2 linked regions of the Drosophila melanogaster genome follow. The protein of the gene in region 1 interacts with the protein of each later gene in a pairwise test. Each region holds a gene or a part of one and is shown on either strand. Other genes may lie near its edges. The genes, in order: Bub1 and Kmn1.

The links.
Region 2: the proteins of Bub1 (region 1) and Kmn1 interact in a two-hybrid assay, tested with the Drosophila melanogaster proteins (one study listed by BioGRID).

Annotation. Positions count from the first base shown.
Region 1 is NT_033779.5:5,275,228-5,287,335, reverse strand, and holds Bub1 (Bub1 kinase), read right to left. Parts: upstream 8,284-12,108; 5' UTR 7,977-8,283; coding exon 7,065-7,976; intron 7,009-7,064; coding exon 5,347-7,008; intron 5,263-5,346; coding exon 4,537-5,262; 3' UTR 4,053-4,536; downstream 1-4,052. Other genes in the region: Nin (ninein), read left to right, coding at 9,147-9,402, 10,156-10,400, 10,605-10,824, 10,968-11,048, 11,556-12,108.
Region 2 is NC_004354.4:11,570,279-11,575,086, forward strand, and holds Kmn1 (kinetochore Mis12-Ndc80 network component 1), read right to left. Parts: upstream 2,165-4,808; 5' UTR 2,121-2,164; coding exon 1,913-2,120; intron 1,855-1,912; coding exon 1,511-1,854; 3' UTR 1,105-1,510; downstream 1-1,104. Other genes in the region: CG11699 (uncharacterized protein), read left to right, coding at 432-498, 589-830, 891-1,022; Reepl1 (receptor accessory protein like 1), read left to right, coding at 2,524-3,246; CG11696 (uncharacterized protein), read left to right, coding at 3,580-3,705, 3,775-4,808.

The sequences.
Region 1 (12,108 bases):
TCCAATTAAAGTCATTAATAAACTTAAAAACTCGGAAATACTCTGCTTAAATCATTAATAGACCCAGTTTATTAGAATTTAATTAACTAAATTACTGCCGATCAACAGCGACTAGATTCACAGCAATAACATTTTATATAGCCAAGCATATAAAGGAGTTGGCAGCAGGAGTCTGGCGATTTCATTAGCCAGGCCCAAACTTACATAAGGTGGAAACAGGAGCGGCAGGAAGAAGATGTCTGAACCTCGATGGCGATGACTTTTACTGTCGTTTGAGGTGCATACACATACATTTCGGTATATATCTATATATAGTTAGTTATATATGTATGTATGTGTTGGGGCGTCGTCTGGTGGACATGTTCGGTGAAAGGGAAAGGTTATTAGACTCGCCCCGTTGCAGAATTTGATGTGGTGGGGGTCCAGACACTGGCTGCTCCTTATTGTTATAATAACCTTTCGGTTTTCTGTTTTCACTGTCGACGGAAGTGGGCGGCGACAGGCGACAGGCGGCAGCAGGTGCCGGTGGGCGGGGCAGTGCAATGACAGCGGTCGACGTCGGTCCTTGGTCCTTCGACTTCATCGAAATCCACCATTAGGCGGTGGGCATTACGAAAGACTGACACTCTCTCTGCTTTCGAATTTCTGGGCGACGAACTCGCGGCCCAGTCACAGGCTCAGTTTGTGGCAGGATTTCTCGCTTTTTCGGGATATTTCGGCTATTGACTCGGCCGGCGGACGTTGCCACATGGCGGCCTCAGTTGAATGCACCCGACGAGGTCACAGGACATCGGCCCACCGCGTTCTCGGTCAAAGTCACATGGCCACTTGACACCAGACCCCAGATAACCGCAATTACAATGACTAGGAGATACATACGTAAGTAGGGATGTGAGTGATGAAAATAGAATTTGAAGTAGGCTTTTCAGGACGTTTGCATATACACAGGGGGTAGTGAACCGAACGAAAGGACTTTTTTTGGGGTCAACTGAATGACGGCTGATGAAATAAGTTCATTGGTGTGATTATCCAGAAAACGGGCAAGGAAACATATTCACGCATTTTATAAAACACATAAACAATGAATAAATAATCAAATACTACTACCACATTTCTTGCATGCATTTAATTAGGGGAAAACAAAATATTTAGATATACTTCATTTTAGTGAACAAATATTTGTTTCAATAAAAGAATGACTCACTTCAGTGATGTCATGATTATTGGCATAGGTTTTGGTTGTTATAAGCGGCATAAAGATAAGAAGTTACCACACATGAGCTGTTATCACAACTGCAAAGTATTACTTATCAAATTAGTTATCGATTTGCTGAAGGTCACTACCAGTTGGCGGCTTTTAAATCCTTAAGACATATAAGGAAATATTAATAAAAATCACATATTCAATCGTGATTGATTGAGATATGCTGCAATTAATGACTCATCAAACCAGTTGTATTGCCCCATAAAGATAGTTATTAAGCGGCCAATCGATTGATCATATTTTAGTGGGTCAATTACCGGATGCTAGATATCGTTTTTCGTTCGAGAATTTTCCTTTTTCACGTTTGTCAGCAGCAATCGGTGCACCGCATGCTTATTAAAGTTTTCCGCCAAAAAAAAAAAGTTTCTCCATCCCACTCAAGTTTCCCTCGGCGAGATGCAAAATATTTGGCGAGAAGAGAAAATAGTAGGGAAAATTCGCGAACAGATTTTATGAGGTCAAAACTCATTACAAGCGATGGCAGCGGCGGGGGGTGGGTGCTGTTGCATAGTGCACACTGTACAGTACATACACGTTAGCCCCAATTCGGCGAGTGGGAAAAAGAAAAGCTGCAGCAAGCGGCCCATGACAGTTGTTGCAGTTGCAACTTTCTAATGCGGCAACAGCGAACAGCACTGCAAACGGATGTGGATCGCGGCGACTGCAGCTCGCAACGTGGCATCAACATTATGTGTGCCATGATGCACATGCACCGCACTGCAGCCAGAAAGCAAGAAAATCGAATCGAATTTCTCCGACACTGCTTTCCACTGCAAATTACTTAACTATTTTCCCAGTTTTCGCTTTGTCGTGCAATTGGCGAACAGTTGTTGCATGTTGTTGCATATTAGCGGCTGCAACAACAGCAGCAGCAACACGGTGCGGCAGTGAAAAGTTGGTCATGACAATCAAATGGCCAACACTGCATGGCATTCGAGGGGTGAGCAGTATCGCTATCTGCCGGGGATGGGGGTCTTGGCTGGTTTTTCTGCACACACACATACTCGTACGAGTGCATGTATGTATTTTGCTGGCTTTGTGTGTGGCCACTGATGCATTCCGCCTGTTGCAACTGCCACTTAGGCGAATCTAGTAGGGTCCCCTTAGTAACCTTTGCATGCCACCATTTTGCACGACTTGCTAGCGAGGAGTTGCACTTAGTCACAGGAATGACTAACCAACCAACCGACTGGTAGTCGTTGTTCTACCCTAAATTCCCAAGGGTGACTCAGATCGGTCCTTACCACAAACGCAAGTTGTTAACGCTCCTTTGGTCGAGTCCATCGGTCATCATTGAGTGATCTTCAGTGGGGGAGAAACAAGACGTGCTTCATAAGTTACAAAATATGAGCTACTTACTAATAGAAATGGGTAATTTTTAGGTAAAGAAAATAAAAGAAGGATATTTAAAAAATATAATAGAATATGGCATTAAATGAATCTTTTAATATACATAGATTTTTTCAAGTCAACAAAAAGAGATATAGATATTATTATGAAAGTATTCTTGTAATAAGTACTATTACATTTAAGATATGAAACTATGATTTTAAGTTCGTAAATTTATTTAATTATCTAGCTAATTTTTTTTTAAATCGTATCATAATGAGATCATCGTATCATAATCATCATATCATCTTGGTTTTAAATCCTGGCTAATCCGCTTAGGCACCTGTCCAGATGGTGAAAACGCGTAGCTTGGTAACTTGATCTTAGCCAAGTTAATTGCTGGTGGGTACTTAACGAAAAGTCTCCCCACTTTTCTGGGATTAAGACTTTCCTTCGGTGGAGAGCCAAATACTGTTGGCCATCAGCTTAATTAGAAACGAGTTAAGTGTCCGCAGCTCAGCACTTAACTGATCTATTAACGAATTTCTTTCTACCCATTTCTATTGACTTTTGTTGTCATCTTGCTTTGTGTTTTTGGCTGGCATATCGGGTGATCGGAATCGGGAATAGGTATGGGTATTGGTATGGCATCCAGATGGAGATCGGTGTGCCCCAGTGATCTAATAAATGCCGCATTGTCATTCGCTTCGCTTCGCCACTCCGTTTGTCACTCAATGCCCGTGGCCCCGAAACTGGGGCACATTCATTAATTTATCGCATGCAAAACAATCCGCTGAAGTATCTAATGCTGCAGCTGACGTTGCAGTCGACACACAAAAAAATAGAAAGTTTTTCGCCAATCGCCGGCGGACTGCCTGCTGCAATTTTCTCTTTGCAATTTGATTAAATAAAATATTGTGTAAAAGCGACGCCGGCAGAGCAACTTTCCAACTGCATACTGCATACTGCATAGGCTGCAAGTTGCAGTTTCGCGCCACGACTTCTAAGTCGGTTACTAGATGCAATAATAATTGCATTTGTCCCACTTTACTTTCACTTGGCGAACGAGCAGCCAGCAACAAGCTGCAAGCTTCGAGTTTCAAGCAACTAGCAACAAAAAGCCGCAGCGCAGGCGTCGACTTTGACTTTGTGTGCCTGTTGCAGCTTTTCCAACCGTCGATGTGTGTGTGTGTTGCATGAAAAGTTGCAACTTTTTCCAGTCGCTTGGTGGAAATTGTGCGCCGTTTGGTTGACTGGCAAAAAGGAAAAGTGGGTCAAGCGCAGCATTGTTGTTGATGCTGGCGCTGCTGTTGCTGCTATTACTTGTTGCATGCCCCCACTAAATTGACAATTGCCTGCAACACACACATTATGGGTTCGCCACTTTGGCATTTGATTTATGAAACTGGGTTACCACTGCTTTCCTTTTTCGCGCTGCAATTCATATGGTTTTTGCTTTAACATTTCGTCAATTTATTCACTATTATTTAAAGATCTTTATATATTACTCAATAGTACAGCAAGCACTAATCTTAAACATATTTATGTACGATTCTTTTTTTTTTTACATTGCCTTCAATATATTGTTTTATTGTGCTGTACATAAAAAAATTACATTTAAATCCAGGGCCTTTTTTCCACAAACTCATTTCGTAAACGTTGCTTTAGATCGAGTCTGTGCCTAATATTTACAATGTTTTTGAATTTTGTAGCGTACTTTTTGCTTTCGTTTTTTTTTTTGGCATCAAAACAATAAATAAAAGGGAGTTTGTTCGCAGAAAAATAGTTTAAAATTAGAACGCGGAGTTTTTCCCGGTTTGGTTTTATCATCTTTGAAGAGGGAAAATTGTTTTAAAATAAAAACTGAAACAATATAAATGGGTGACTTGGTCAACAGAGTTATATGCAAAACAATTTAACAGAAAGGAATAGGAATAGATTGGTTATCGTCGATGCAGGATGTTGGATAGGGTGCGTATCTGCTTCTGCAGCTCGGAGTCCATGCGGTACGCCTCCTCCTCGAAGATGAGACGCATCTCATGCAGCGCTGGCAGTTTGTCCGCCTGCATGTTGAGCAGATCCCCGAAGAACTTGGTCCACACATGCTTTTTGAGGTAACGCGGCAGCTTTTGTCGTATTTCCCAGCTGGAGCCCTTCTTTTGCGGCTGCATATAGTCACCGAAGAGCATCACATGAACGGTCGCCGCGATGCAGAAGAGATCCGTTTCGTAGGACCAGCTGCGTCCCTCCTGCATCTCGATGCAGGTGAAGCCATCCGTTTGCACCACCTTCCGGAACTTGGTCTTCTCACCGTCCGGGAACAGGGTCATATCGATAGCACAGCCGAAGTCAATCAAACGTAGCGATGGCAACGGACTGTCCACATTGGGCACACGCATTAGCAGGAAGTTGTCCGGTTTAATGTCCGCATGGATGATGTGCTGGCGATGCAGGTGGTCCACGATATTGCAGATCTGTGCGGAGAAGTGCATCACCAGCGATTCGTGCATTACTTTGGTGGTTGCCTGGCGGATCTTGTTGTTGATGTCCAGCAGCGAACCGAACGGTGAGAACTCGGTGGCTATTAGACTAGCGTTTGGGGCGATGATCGCCGTGGAAATGTCCATAACGCCAGGCAACACCTCTGGCTCCTTGATGCGTTTCAGCACCTAAAACACGCAATATGTATTAACACCCAAATCTTTTTGGCAAAAAAAAACTTTAATATAAGTGGTAAATATAATTTTTCTTACCTGATCACATATGTATATCTCCCAGGTGTTTGGGGGCTTCTGATACTTGAGCGCCACTACATTGCCGGTCCGAGAATCAGTGGCTTTATAAACCGAGCCATATGAGCCGCGACCCACCTCCTTGTCGATGCTAAAGGTAACGCCTTCCAGGACGTTCAGCGTGCGAGTGTTGGATATTTTTGGCAGTGGCGTTTGGACAATCTTGTAACTGGCATGGGCATCGTGATTACCCGGAAAATCTAGCTTGGCGAGAAAAGCGCGGCACAGTTCGCTGTTGAACGGATCGATGGCCTCCTTGTCCATGTGGCGGGCTATCGTTTCAACGGCCTTCGATAGCCGACGCTCCTGGGCCTCCGTGTCGTGCTGAGTGGCGAAGTACGAGTTCTCTTGAAATGTGGAGAAATCGGCCATGGTGCTAGTGCCATTATTGTTGTTGCTGGTGTTATTGTTGTTGTTGTGAATTTGTAAGGTCTTATTGACCGGATGGAGGATCTGCTGTTGCGATGTGTCGCGGAAGTTAAGTCTATCAACAGCCAAGGCCAGCGAGCTATTTGAGTTATCCAAAGCTGTGGCACTGGAGAACGAAAAGTTTGCATTGTCATTAAATGTGCCAGGTGCTCCGGCGAGCACACTACTCGAGGCCACATCAGCCACCGAGGATGCCGAGTTGCTGTTGCTGCAGAGATCCGGCTGGAACTTGCTGCGCTTAACTTTGGTGCGTGCCCTGCGATAGCCATTCGCCTCGCTCTTCGGCGTCGAGGTCTGGCCCAGCATGTAGGGATGGAAGTGGTGGTGGCTTCCGTTGCGTTGACGCTGGATGGGAATCGGAGAAGCAGGTGCCGGGTCCGGCGAAGGATGATGTACTGCCTGCGGAGGCTGATGGATTATTTGATGCTGCTCCTGCTGCTGCTGCTGTTGTTGCTGGTAAACATTCTCTATGGTATAGGCACTGTAGGTGCTGCTGGGCTCCTTCCTGAACTTGATCTTAATCGATCGATTTTCTTGCTCGAAAGTGGTTTGCGCACTGAACTGCACGCCATTTGTGTACGGTCCGCTATGCTCCTCTTCCTCTTCATCGTCTTCCTCCTCTTCATCAGAGTCATCTTCCTCGTTCTCTTCACCACCATCCTCCTCCTCTTCTCCCTCCTCGGCGTCATTGTCCTCATCTTCCTCACCTGTATTCTCCTGACCACTGCTGGTGTTCTGCCCGTAAAGAGCTCCATCCACAGCAGTCATATAGTAAGATTTCTCAGTTTCGTAGGAATCATAAAGAGTTTGCTGTTCTTGTTCTGGCGGCTCCGATGGCTTGGCTTTTTGATCCATTAACTGCTTAAACTTGCGGGCTAGTATCTCTTCGGGACTGTACTCGACGCCTGCTCCTGGTGGATATACCAACTGCTTGGCATAGTGGCACACGCGCGAGGGATCATCAGGCTCTTCAAGCGTTAGAGCCGGCTTCCATGTCTCATGGTTGTTGCGCCCGTAGGCGTGGAAATTGCGCGGCAAGCGTAGGCCAGCCACTTCATTTGTCACCGGAGGACTTTGTTGAGGAGGTGGATTGCCGTTGCCGTTTTGTTGCTGCTGCGGCTGCTGTGCGTGCAACTGCGGTACTGTAGTTTGTTGCGGCGGCAACTGTGACTGTTGGGCTGGTGCATAATGGGACTAAAACAAAAAAGGAGTATTTATCAAGTAGCTTTGATATTAAATTTAATGCTCACCTCTGCCACAGGAGCATAATGCGATTGTTGCTGGACTTGGGATGGTGGTATTGCTGTTGGGGACTGAGTTGCAGGATGTGGTTCATAGCGCGGCCGCTCCTGGTAGTGTGTCTGATAGGGGACCTGTTGTTCTGGCGGCAGTTGCTGTTGTGGCGCCGGCTGATGAGGCTGTGGGGCTTGATGTGCCTGCGCCTGCGGATGATATTGCTGATAGACATTCTGCTGATATGGCTGGGGACGGTGTTGATTATAGCTCTGTGGCATCTGCTGCTGTGCATAGTTCGTGAGTTGCTGCAGTGCATCCTGCGGGGGATGTTGCTGGTGCTGCTGTTGTTGCTGTTGTTGCTGCTGTTGCCGCTGGTAAAAAAGAGACCTGGCATAGGCGAACTTGGTGTGGGCGTGCTGCAGCTCGGAAGTGCTCTGCGCCTTCTCCTGGAAGGCCAAGTTAAACACCGCCTCCGCATCCTTATACTCCTCGCGAGACTCGTAATAGGCAGCCCATCCAATGTAGAAGGCGGCCACCTGGCGACCAGTTCCTCGCTGAAAAAGCACCTGGTAGAAATGGAGTGGATCCGTTTGCATGGCTATGTACTTCAGCCACAGCCGCACCAAACGGACATCCTGGCGATAGTAGTCATTGTGCTCATACACCGTCAGGCAGCGCTCCAGAGTTTCGCGGTACTTTAGCTCCGGATCGCTTTGCGCGTGATTCTCGTACCAGCAGATGTAGTTGTACCAATGATCGAGTGGATCAGGACCCTGGTACAGGGATATGGCGTGCTCCCAAGCCTGCTTGTCGTTCAGGAAGCCGTGCATCTCGTCCGGGCTGGCCAGCGGCGGTGCTCCAGCTGCGACTGCTCCTGCTCCTCCTCCGGAACCCGATCCCTGGCGCATGTACGAGTGCATGGCCATCTCGGCCGGACGCGGAATCCTCTGATCCCGCTGCGCCGTAATGCAAACAAATGAATGCGAGACTGTGGTTTCTACGGGTCACCACCAAAAAGTCTCGGATTGCGGAATGTAGTGCCCCTTGCCGATTGGACTGGTTAGGGTCCACTAACTCAGTTAATCCCTCGGCGTCTTCGGCTGTCACTGGTGGCACATACACATGATTTTCAGTTGGATTTTTCAACAGTTTGCAATGCTCAAAGATATTTTGTATTTTTTCTTGCTTTTCAGCTTGCAAATGGAATTTATTAGTGCTGCCAAACAATCGATAGAACCATTGGCTGTCACTGTTGACGATGGCTATGCACAAGGTTATCGATAGTGCGATAGAAACGTGTTGTTGGGAATTTTTAAACAAAAGCAATTTTTTGTACAACTTTACTTTTTATTTATTTATTTGTTGCCAAAGTTCAATTTTATTAATAAAACTATAGGGTTCTTTGTTTTAAATTATTGTAGTTTGAATGACGCACAATATATGTGTGTGTGCTATGAAGCACTTCCTATTTGATATACTTTTTGTATAATTATAATCTATTATTGGAAAACAACATGTTAATCGGATGATTTCAATTTATGTCAAGTTTTCTACTTTAATAAGGGGTCTGGTTGGAGCTGAAGCTTTCCAAGTAAAGTTAGCGATTTATTATATGGCATTACGTTCTCCCTTGTTATCTATTTATTTTGTAATATAAATATTCAAATCCTAAACGATAGTTGTATAACGATAGGAACAATGGTCCACGATAGTGCCACCTCCGATGCAAGTTTGCTTAATGCCCTCCAGAGCGCGCCACCGTGCTCGCTATTACTGCATTATTGTTTTTTATCAACTCGCTAGAAATTACGCTATTCCCAAAAAAACCGCAAACCCGCGAGTGTTTATGTTGCGTTCCGAAGTGCATATCATAGATTAGTAGTATTAGTAACCCCTCAAACAGCCTGCTGTCCAAAAAACACGCGTGATTCCCCCGCCACCCACGCACATAGACCCCGATATTTCACTTTTCTTGTTTTCGACCCCTGACTGCGTTTGTGGATTTTCCCCCCAAGAAAAAAAAAGCGAAGTGAAAACGCAATTGAGCAGCCGATCGATTGGAACGGCAGCAAACTGAATTCCCCGGGTTACGGATAATGGAGGTATCCGCCGATCCGTACGAGCAGAAGCTCTACCAAATGTTCCGCAGCTGCGAGACGCAGTGTGGACTTCTGGACGAGAAGTCCCTGCTGAAGCTCTGCTCACTGCTGGAGCTCCGGGATCAGGGATCCGCACTGATCGCCAGCCTGGGCGGCAGCCATCAGCTGGGCGTGTCCTTTGGCCAGTTCAAGGAGGCGCTACTCAACTTCCTGGGCTCCGAGTTCGATGGTAATACGTCATCGGGTTTCATTGGTGAGATAGCACAAAGAATCGATCACGCTATAGATTAACTTATATAGTATAAAGATAATATTTGCTATAAGCTAACGCGACAGGTTCGCATAAAACAACATACGTTTTATCTGTAATTGCGCTTTAATTACCCATCAAGCAACATCAGATAATTACGGAATGTTTGCCAGCCACTTATTAGAGATAGTAATTCAATTTTGACACGGATTTGGAACCGTGTGGGTTTCCCTATTAATAAAACACTGATCTAATGAACACATTTCTAGCAGTCTATAGATGAACAAAGCCATTACTTAATACTCAAAGAAGTGCTACCATCTACGTGCTAATTTGCAAGGATTATGCACATTTACTTCAAACCTCCGCTTATCTGATTTGGAAACTTCTGGGCAAATTTAGGACACCTTAGGGTACGAATATCATAATCAGCACGCGGATTAGCACGGCGGCAGCTGGCGATCATAAAATCATAGATGCAATTGACACTTTTTTACGACTCCCAACTGTTCTCGACTACCTGATCCTGCATGATCCTTATCAGGTAGATGGTTACAATGTCCTGTATAAATACGCGACACATTCACCTGGGCAGTTTAGTCTAAATCAAAATGGGAACACGATTGTATTACCGCCGATCCGGCGGTCAGTTAACAGATCCGATAATTGAGAAGCTAGCCGCTCGTTTTGGTAGCCACCTAAGATCCATACAACTCTTCCAGTTCTCTGCTAACTTATATCTATTGAATCTTCCAGAGCGTTCACTGGTGATTACGGATGAGCCGCTAAACAACACATACATCGAGAGTCCGCCGGAGTCTTCCGATCGCGAGGTTTCACCCAAACTCGTCGTGGGCACCAAGAAATACGGTCGCCGGTCTAGGCCACAGCAGGGAATCTACGAGTTATCCGTCACGGACTCGGACAATACGGACGAGGACCAGTTGCAGCAGCAGCAAAATCAGCGAAGCCTCAACGGATGCGATGAGCTGGGAGTTCAGGTGAGTGTCGTTTGTCAAGTCACGTACGAAGTGGCGATACAACTTCTGGTTATGTATGCAAAATTGCATAGTAAACAGATTTTGTTTAATCGTTATTATTGCTGATACAGTAGAGCATGCCTAAGTAGCACTACCAAAGCAAACAAATTATCTTAAATATACATCATGATCATCATAAGCATCTTATTTTTCCAAACCACACAGGTGCAACGTTCCTCGTCCCAGAGCGATCTTCCTGGCAGCCGGCGTCTGCGGTCCGTCCACACCAGCGGGAGCAAACTGAAGCGTTGTGCTTCACTGCCAGCACGCCGGAAGATGAACAGCAACACCACGGGAGCCACTACATCACCGACGGCAGCGGCCAAGTTGAAACAGCTTTCCATCCAGAGCCAGGCGCAGCACAGCAGCAGCGTGGAATCACTGGGTAAGTTTCCTCTGGCCAGACCAGCTTTGGCTAGCCGATCCCCCTTGTCCCTGCCACCCTCTGTTGTTGTTAGCCCAAAATGCCAAAATTACGTTTGAAGCAATGTTAAAAGCAAAACACTTGTTTGTCGGTACACACCGTAGGCCATCGCCTGGCCACCAATCCCGCACCGTCGTCCGAGCACTGGAGATGCTACCACGGCGGCCGTTGGTCATGCTGCAAAGGTTTGTGCGCTCTGAAGCAATTGTCAACACCCTCACACCCACCGAATCCCCAACCCAGTCATTCGGTATCTAATCGCACCCTATGTAGCCGCACATTTGATTCGTTCTATTTACTCGTATAATCACATATCCTACATTTTCAACCCTTAGTAATGCTGTAATGCATTGACAATCAATTTAATTAAGGATTTCATATAAATCAATTTCAGTTAGAAAGGATATTTACTTATAATTTGTTCTATTTTCTTGATTTATTAGTTTCTACCTCTTAAAATAACACGCCAAAAATTTCTCATTTCGAAAAGCCATTTGATATAGAGAAATAACAAACTTTCGGCGCTTTTGCTTACACCATCGACACACACACACACCCTTCCCCACTCCCAATCCCAATCCAATCCCACACCCACCTGGTATCTTGGGCTATATGTATAATAAATGTGTATATACAACAGCGAAGCCAATCTCATTCGTCCCACGCTAATTGTTAATTGCCATGATTTACAGACACCGTGACGCCGCAGCAATTGGAGACGATCTCAGTGCATAGCATTATGGAAGCCTGGGAGCTGGCCAGCATTCCCAACACTCGCAACCTACTTCACGTCCTGGGATTCGATGAGGAGGAGGAGGTGAACCTGCAGCAGCTAACTAAGGCATTGGAGGAGGAGCTGCGGGGCATCGATGGGGATCACGAGCAATCGAATATGTTGCGCGCTCTGGCTGCTCTGCAGGCCACCGAGTTGGGCAACTACAGACTTGCCTATAGGCAGCAGCATGAGGAGAACCTCAAGCTGAGGGCCGATAATAAGGCGGCCAACCAAAGGGTGGCTTTGCTTGCCGTGGAAGTGGATGAGCGGCATGCGTCGCTGGAGGATAACTCCAAGAAGCAGGTGCAGCAGCTGGAGCAAAGACACGCCAGCATGGTGCGTGAAATAACGCTGCGGATGACTAATGACCGCGATCACTGGACCAGCATGACGGGAAAGCTGGAGGCACAGCTTAAATCGCTTGAGCAGGAGGAGATCCGTCTGAGAACGGAACTTGAACTGGTGCGCAC
Region 2 (4,808 bases), on another chromosome or scaffold:
ATGCGATGTGAAAATGCGGACAACGCCGACCGAAAAGTGTGACTGCAGGGCGAGCGGCGAAATACCATACCATATTGCGGTCGTTGTAGCAGGGTTGCCAGACTGACGTTTTTTAGCTATATCTTTTATATAAATATATCTATTAGTATTAGTTAGTAATTTAACAAATAAATTAAATGCAGCACATTAAAATCAAATTGACTCTCATAGTCAGTGAGAAAGGCCAGTACCTGTTGAATATTTTGAACTATCTTTTAGCACTTCACTTCTAGCTTCCCTCCCGCCATCTTAGCACCTCTGCGAACGCGTCAGTGGCAGTGGCAGCTGCGGCACCAGTGTTGGTTGTCAAGAGCGGTCAAGCAATCAGCTGTGTTGTGCGATCCAATTCGGGCATTAGTAGTTACGACAACAATAAATCGCAATTGAGAAGGATGAGCGAGGCCGGCACCAGCGCGGATGCAGTGGCCGCCGAGAAGGAGCGCAAGTTCCGCATCCAGGGTAGGTGGTTCTCCAAACACATACAGACACACGCATATATATCAGCCAGCAACTGACTGAAGTACAACTCCATTTCATCCTCCTTTCTAGCCGCCGCCTTTCTGGGTTTGGTGGGCGGGGTGTCCGCTCTGTTCGGCTTCTCGCGCACGCTGGCCACCGCCAAGAAGACGGATAGCAAGGTCCTCCAGCAGGCTGGAACGCGGCAAGGCATGATCCTGATGGACGAGGGCGCCACCCTGGCCCTGCGGGCGCTGGGCTGGGGCACACTGTACGCCGTGATGGGCACCGGCGCCTTCTGCTACGGCTTCTGGAAGCTATCCGGAGCCAAGGATGTGAGCATGCCTCCGATTTGTTCAATGAATTTCGCTTTAAATCTTTCGTTTCGTTCGCAGTTCCAGGAGTTCCGCCTCAAGATGGGCAATGCACTGCCAAGAATCACCAAGGACGAACCACCAGCCAGCCGCACCGATTTCGAGAGTCTCACGGACCTCATGAAATACCTGGCAGCCTGGAACAAGGAATAAGCAGCTCACAAATATACACACAATTTAAAGTAGACCTAACGCCTGAGTAGACCAGAACATAAAACGAAACCTTTGTTAACTTCAGTTTACATACAGACAATGTTTTCAAGACGTTTGATCGGTTTTCATTTCTTTCGGTCAGACTTAAAGGCAGCCATCATCAGAAGTGCAACTTAGGGAGTTACATATTAGGGTAGAAATAAATACAGTATAATTCGCTTAGCTGCATCGATAGTTAGCTGCATCGGCAAGATATCTGCATTATTTTTCCATTTTTTTGTGTGAATAGAAAATAGAAAATAGAAAAAAAAAAATTAAGTTAGCTGCATTTTTAAGTTACCTGCATCGAGGCATTGTGCAAAGTACTCGAGGCAGCTAAGCGAATTATACTGTATAAGCCAAAAGCAAACCGTCTTACAATCTCTGAGTCTTAATTTAATTTATCAATATCTACAATTCACATATGTATATTTATGCATAGCTTAGGGTCACCGTTGGTTGGCCATATTCTGGTGTATAGCGTTGTTGATCATGGTGTTCCGCATGAATAGGTAGTGATCGTCCATATTGCACTGCAGCTCCATCATGTCCTCGTGCTCCGCCTGAAATCGGATGGCCGCGTTTGTGAAAGCCAACGAGCTTCGCACGAAGTTTTGCAAATTGGGTCCCTGATCTAGGTAACGCTGCTGCTCCTTGTTTGGCTTGAAGCTAACCTTGCGATTGTCCGTGTCCAGTGCCGCATGCATTACAAAGTCGAAGAACTTTTGCTGCTCCTTCTGGGCGCGCTCCTTGTACTGCTGCACCTCGTCCTCCTGACAGCTAGGATCCCAGACTGAAAGTCTGTACGTTAAGTAAATGGCAATTTAATTAACCACAAGGATTGCACTTACTATCGTCCAGGTCAATGTTAAACAAAGTGCTTGCTTCATAGCGACGCGGTTTCAAAGTGGCCTCCAGTTGGGCCGGCACGTCCTTGAGATCGATGTCGGAGAGATCACCGCTCGATAGATCGACGGCACTCGTGTTGCCCACGTATTCCAGTACGTCACTGCGGCGTACGAATTTCATTAATTTTTCTGGACTTTCGGCTGGCTCCATCGCGTCGCTTCGTTTGTTTTCAGTTTTTAAATCCGTAAACGCTTGCCAACACCCATCGCTGATCCAGTGATGCCACATCTTTTGAACGTAATTCGCTCTGGCTCTTTTCAAGCCAAAACCTTTTATACAAATTAAAATATACGATATAAAAAATTGCACTTTTAATATTAATAAAAAGATATATACTCATTGAAAAAAAGCTGAACTAAAAAAGGGGAAAAGGGTTATAGGGCATAAGTCATTTTATGAATGCTAAGCAGGCCTTGCGTTTAGAATCACATTTCAATTTATTGTATTTGTTCAAGTAGTCAAACCAAATGAACAAAATCGAGAACCGAATACACAGCTATATATATACTTTCTCAAAATCCAAAATTTTAAGATTATCCAAAATTTCCAAATAATGATTTATGCGATCGTGATACACATACTGTCCCTTCTGGTGGGCTGTTTCTATCCAGCATTCGCGTCCTACAAGATCCTGAAAAGTCAGAATTGTAGCGTCAATGATCTTCGCGGATGGTTAATCTACTGGATTGCCTATGGAGTTTATGTGGCCTTTGATTATTTCACAGCGGGTCTGCTGGCATTTATTCCATTGCTAAGTGAGTTCAAGGTGCTTCTCCTGTTCTGGATGTTGCCCTCTGTGGGCGGCGGCAGTGAGGTGATCTACGAGGAGTTCCTGCGATCCTTTAGCTGTAACGAATCCTTCGACCAGGTCCTGGGACGTATCACCTTGGAATGGGGCGAATTGGTGTGGCAACAAGTTTGCTCCGTTCTTAGCCATTTGATGGTTTTGGCAGATCGCTATCTCCTGCCCAGCGGTCATCGTCCTGCCCTCCAAATAACGCCCAGCATCGAGGATCTGGTCAACGATGCCATAGCCAAAAGGCAGTTGGAAGAGAAGCGGAAACAGATGGGTAACTTATCTGATACCATCAACGAGGTTTTGGGAGAAAATATCGATTTAAATATGGATCTGCTGCACGGATCCGAATCTGATTTATTGGTTATTAAGGAGCCTATTTCCAAGCCCAAGGAGAGACCAATACCGCCGCCGAAGCCAATGCGTCAGCCATCATCAAGCAACCAGCAAGAAATGAATCTTTCGTCGCAGTTTATGTGACATCAATTGATATCCTCAATATGTCAGGCGGAAGTTGTCAAAGTTCAGAGCTTTCAAAAAGCATACATCTCAGAAATAAACTAACCTTACCGCAATAAAGTTTATACAAAAAAAGCATTTAAATTGATTAATTTTAGTCACAAAATATTGAACCAATGTGTTGGTTATCTTCTTAGCTATTTTTTCTAGCCTATTTTCTTGTGTTTGCACAATCAGTCGCGGAGGTCTCTTTTCGCGGTCCGGTAACGCTCACATAACAAAACTCAGCAACGAATCAAAAACAGCTGCATTTAACGCGATTCGACTCGGGATTTGTGTCCTTCCTTTTATGAGATGATATGCCGACTCTGCCTGGAGGATGCTGAGCACGGGGTGCCCATTTTCGGCCAGGAACCGCCAATGGGACAACCGGCACATCGCCAGCTGGCCGAGCTGATCGAGCGACATCTGCTGCTGGTGGTGAGTGGATTTGGACTTTTCTACCCCAAAAAGATGTTTTTTTCTAATGATTGAATTGTTCGCTTTCAGTTGGCGGAAAACGACGTGGTGTCCACGTGCCTGTGCAACCGCTGCTGGCGGCAGCTGGCCGAGATCGAGCAATTCTGTTCCATGGTAGCGGAGAAGCAGCGGTCGCTGCACCGCTCCTTGCAGCTGAAAACTGAATTGCCGGAGCTGCCCGAACTGACGGAGCCGGAGCCCGCCCTGGTCGTGTGGAACACGGAGTCGCCAATCGAGCCAAAGCTCAGCTATGAGGGCGATGACATCAAGGATCACATACTGTGCGAACCCGTCATCGACGCCTTGTCCGCGGGCGATGAAAAAGACAGTGACTATGGCGACACCTTTGAACCGGACTTCGAGCCGGAATCGCAGCCAGATGAAGAAGAAGAACCGGAGCCGGATCCGGTAAAACCGCGCCCCAGGGGCAGGCCGCGCAAAACTGCGCTGCAGCAAACGCATCAAATCATCAAAAGGAAGTACGAGAAGCGCAAACAGCAGAACAAGGCCAAGATCACAGAGTTATCATTACGGGAATCAAGAGCCCGGCAAAGGGAACTTAAACGCAGCAGTGCTGGAGCAGAGGATGATCAGGATGGCGACGAAGACGAGGAGGACGAAGAAGATGTCGGGGGCGAGCTAACACCAGATGCCGACGAACAGCCAAAGCCGCGCGGCAAACGTGGCCGACCCAAGACCAAGAAACTGGTAACCGCCGACGATAATGATGATACCTCGGAGGTGCCCGTCAAGCGCAGCAGCATCAAGGAAATGGACGACTATATAGCCGCCAATGTTAAGCTCGACTGCGCCATTTGCGCCGCCCCGCTGGAAGACTTCAACGATCTCAAGCGCCACTTTCGCGTGGAGCACGACTGCACTGGCTATGTGAAGTGCTGCAACAATCGGTACAAGAAGCGGACACTGTACGTCGACCATTTGCACTGCCACAAGGATCCGCAGTACTTTAGCTGCCAGAGCTGCCGCAAGAACTTCCTTAACCGCAACAGCCAGGTGATGCACATGCTGCGCTTCCACTCGCAGCAGCAAGAGCTGGTCCACCA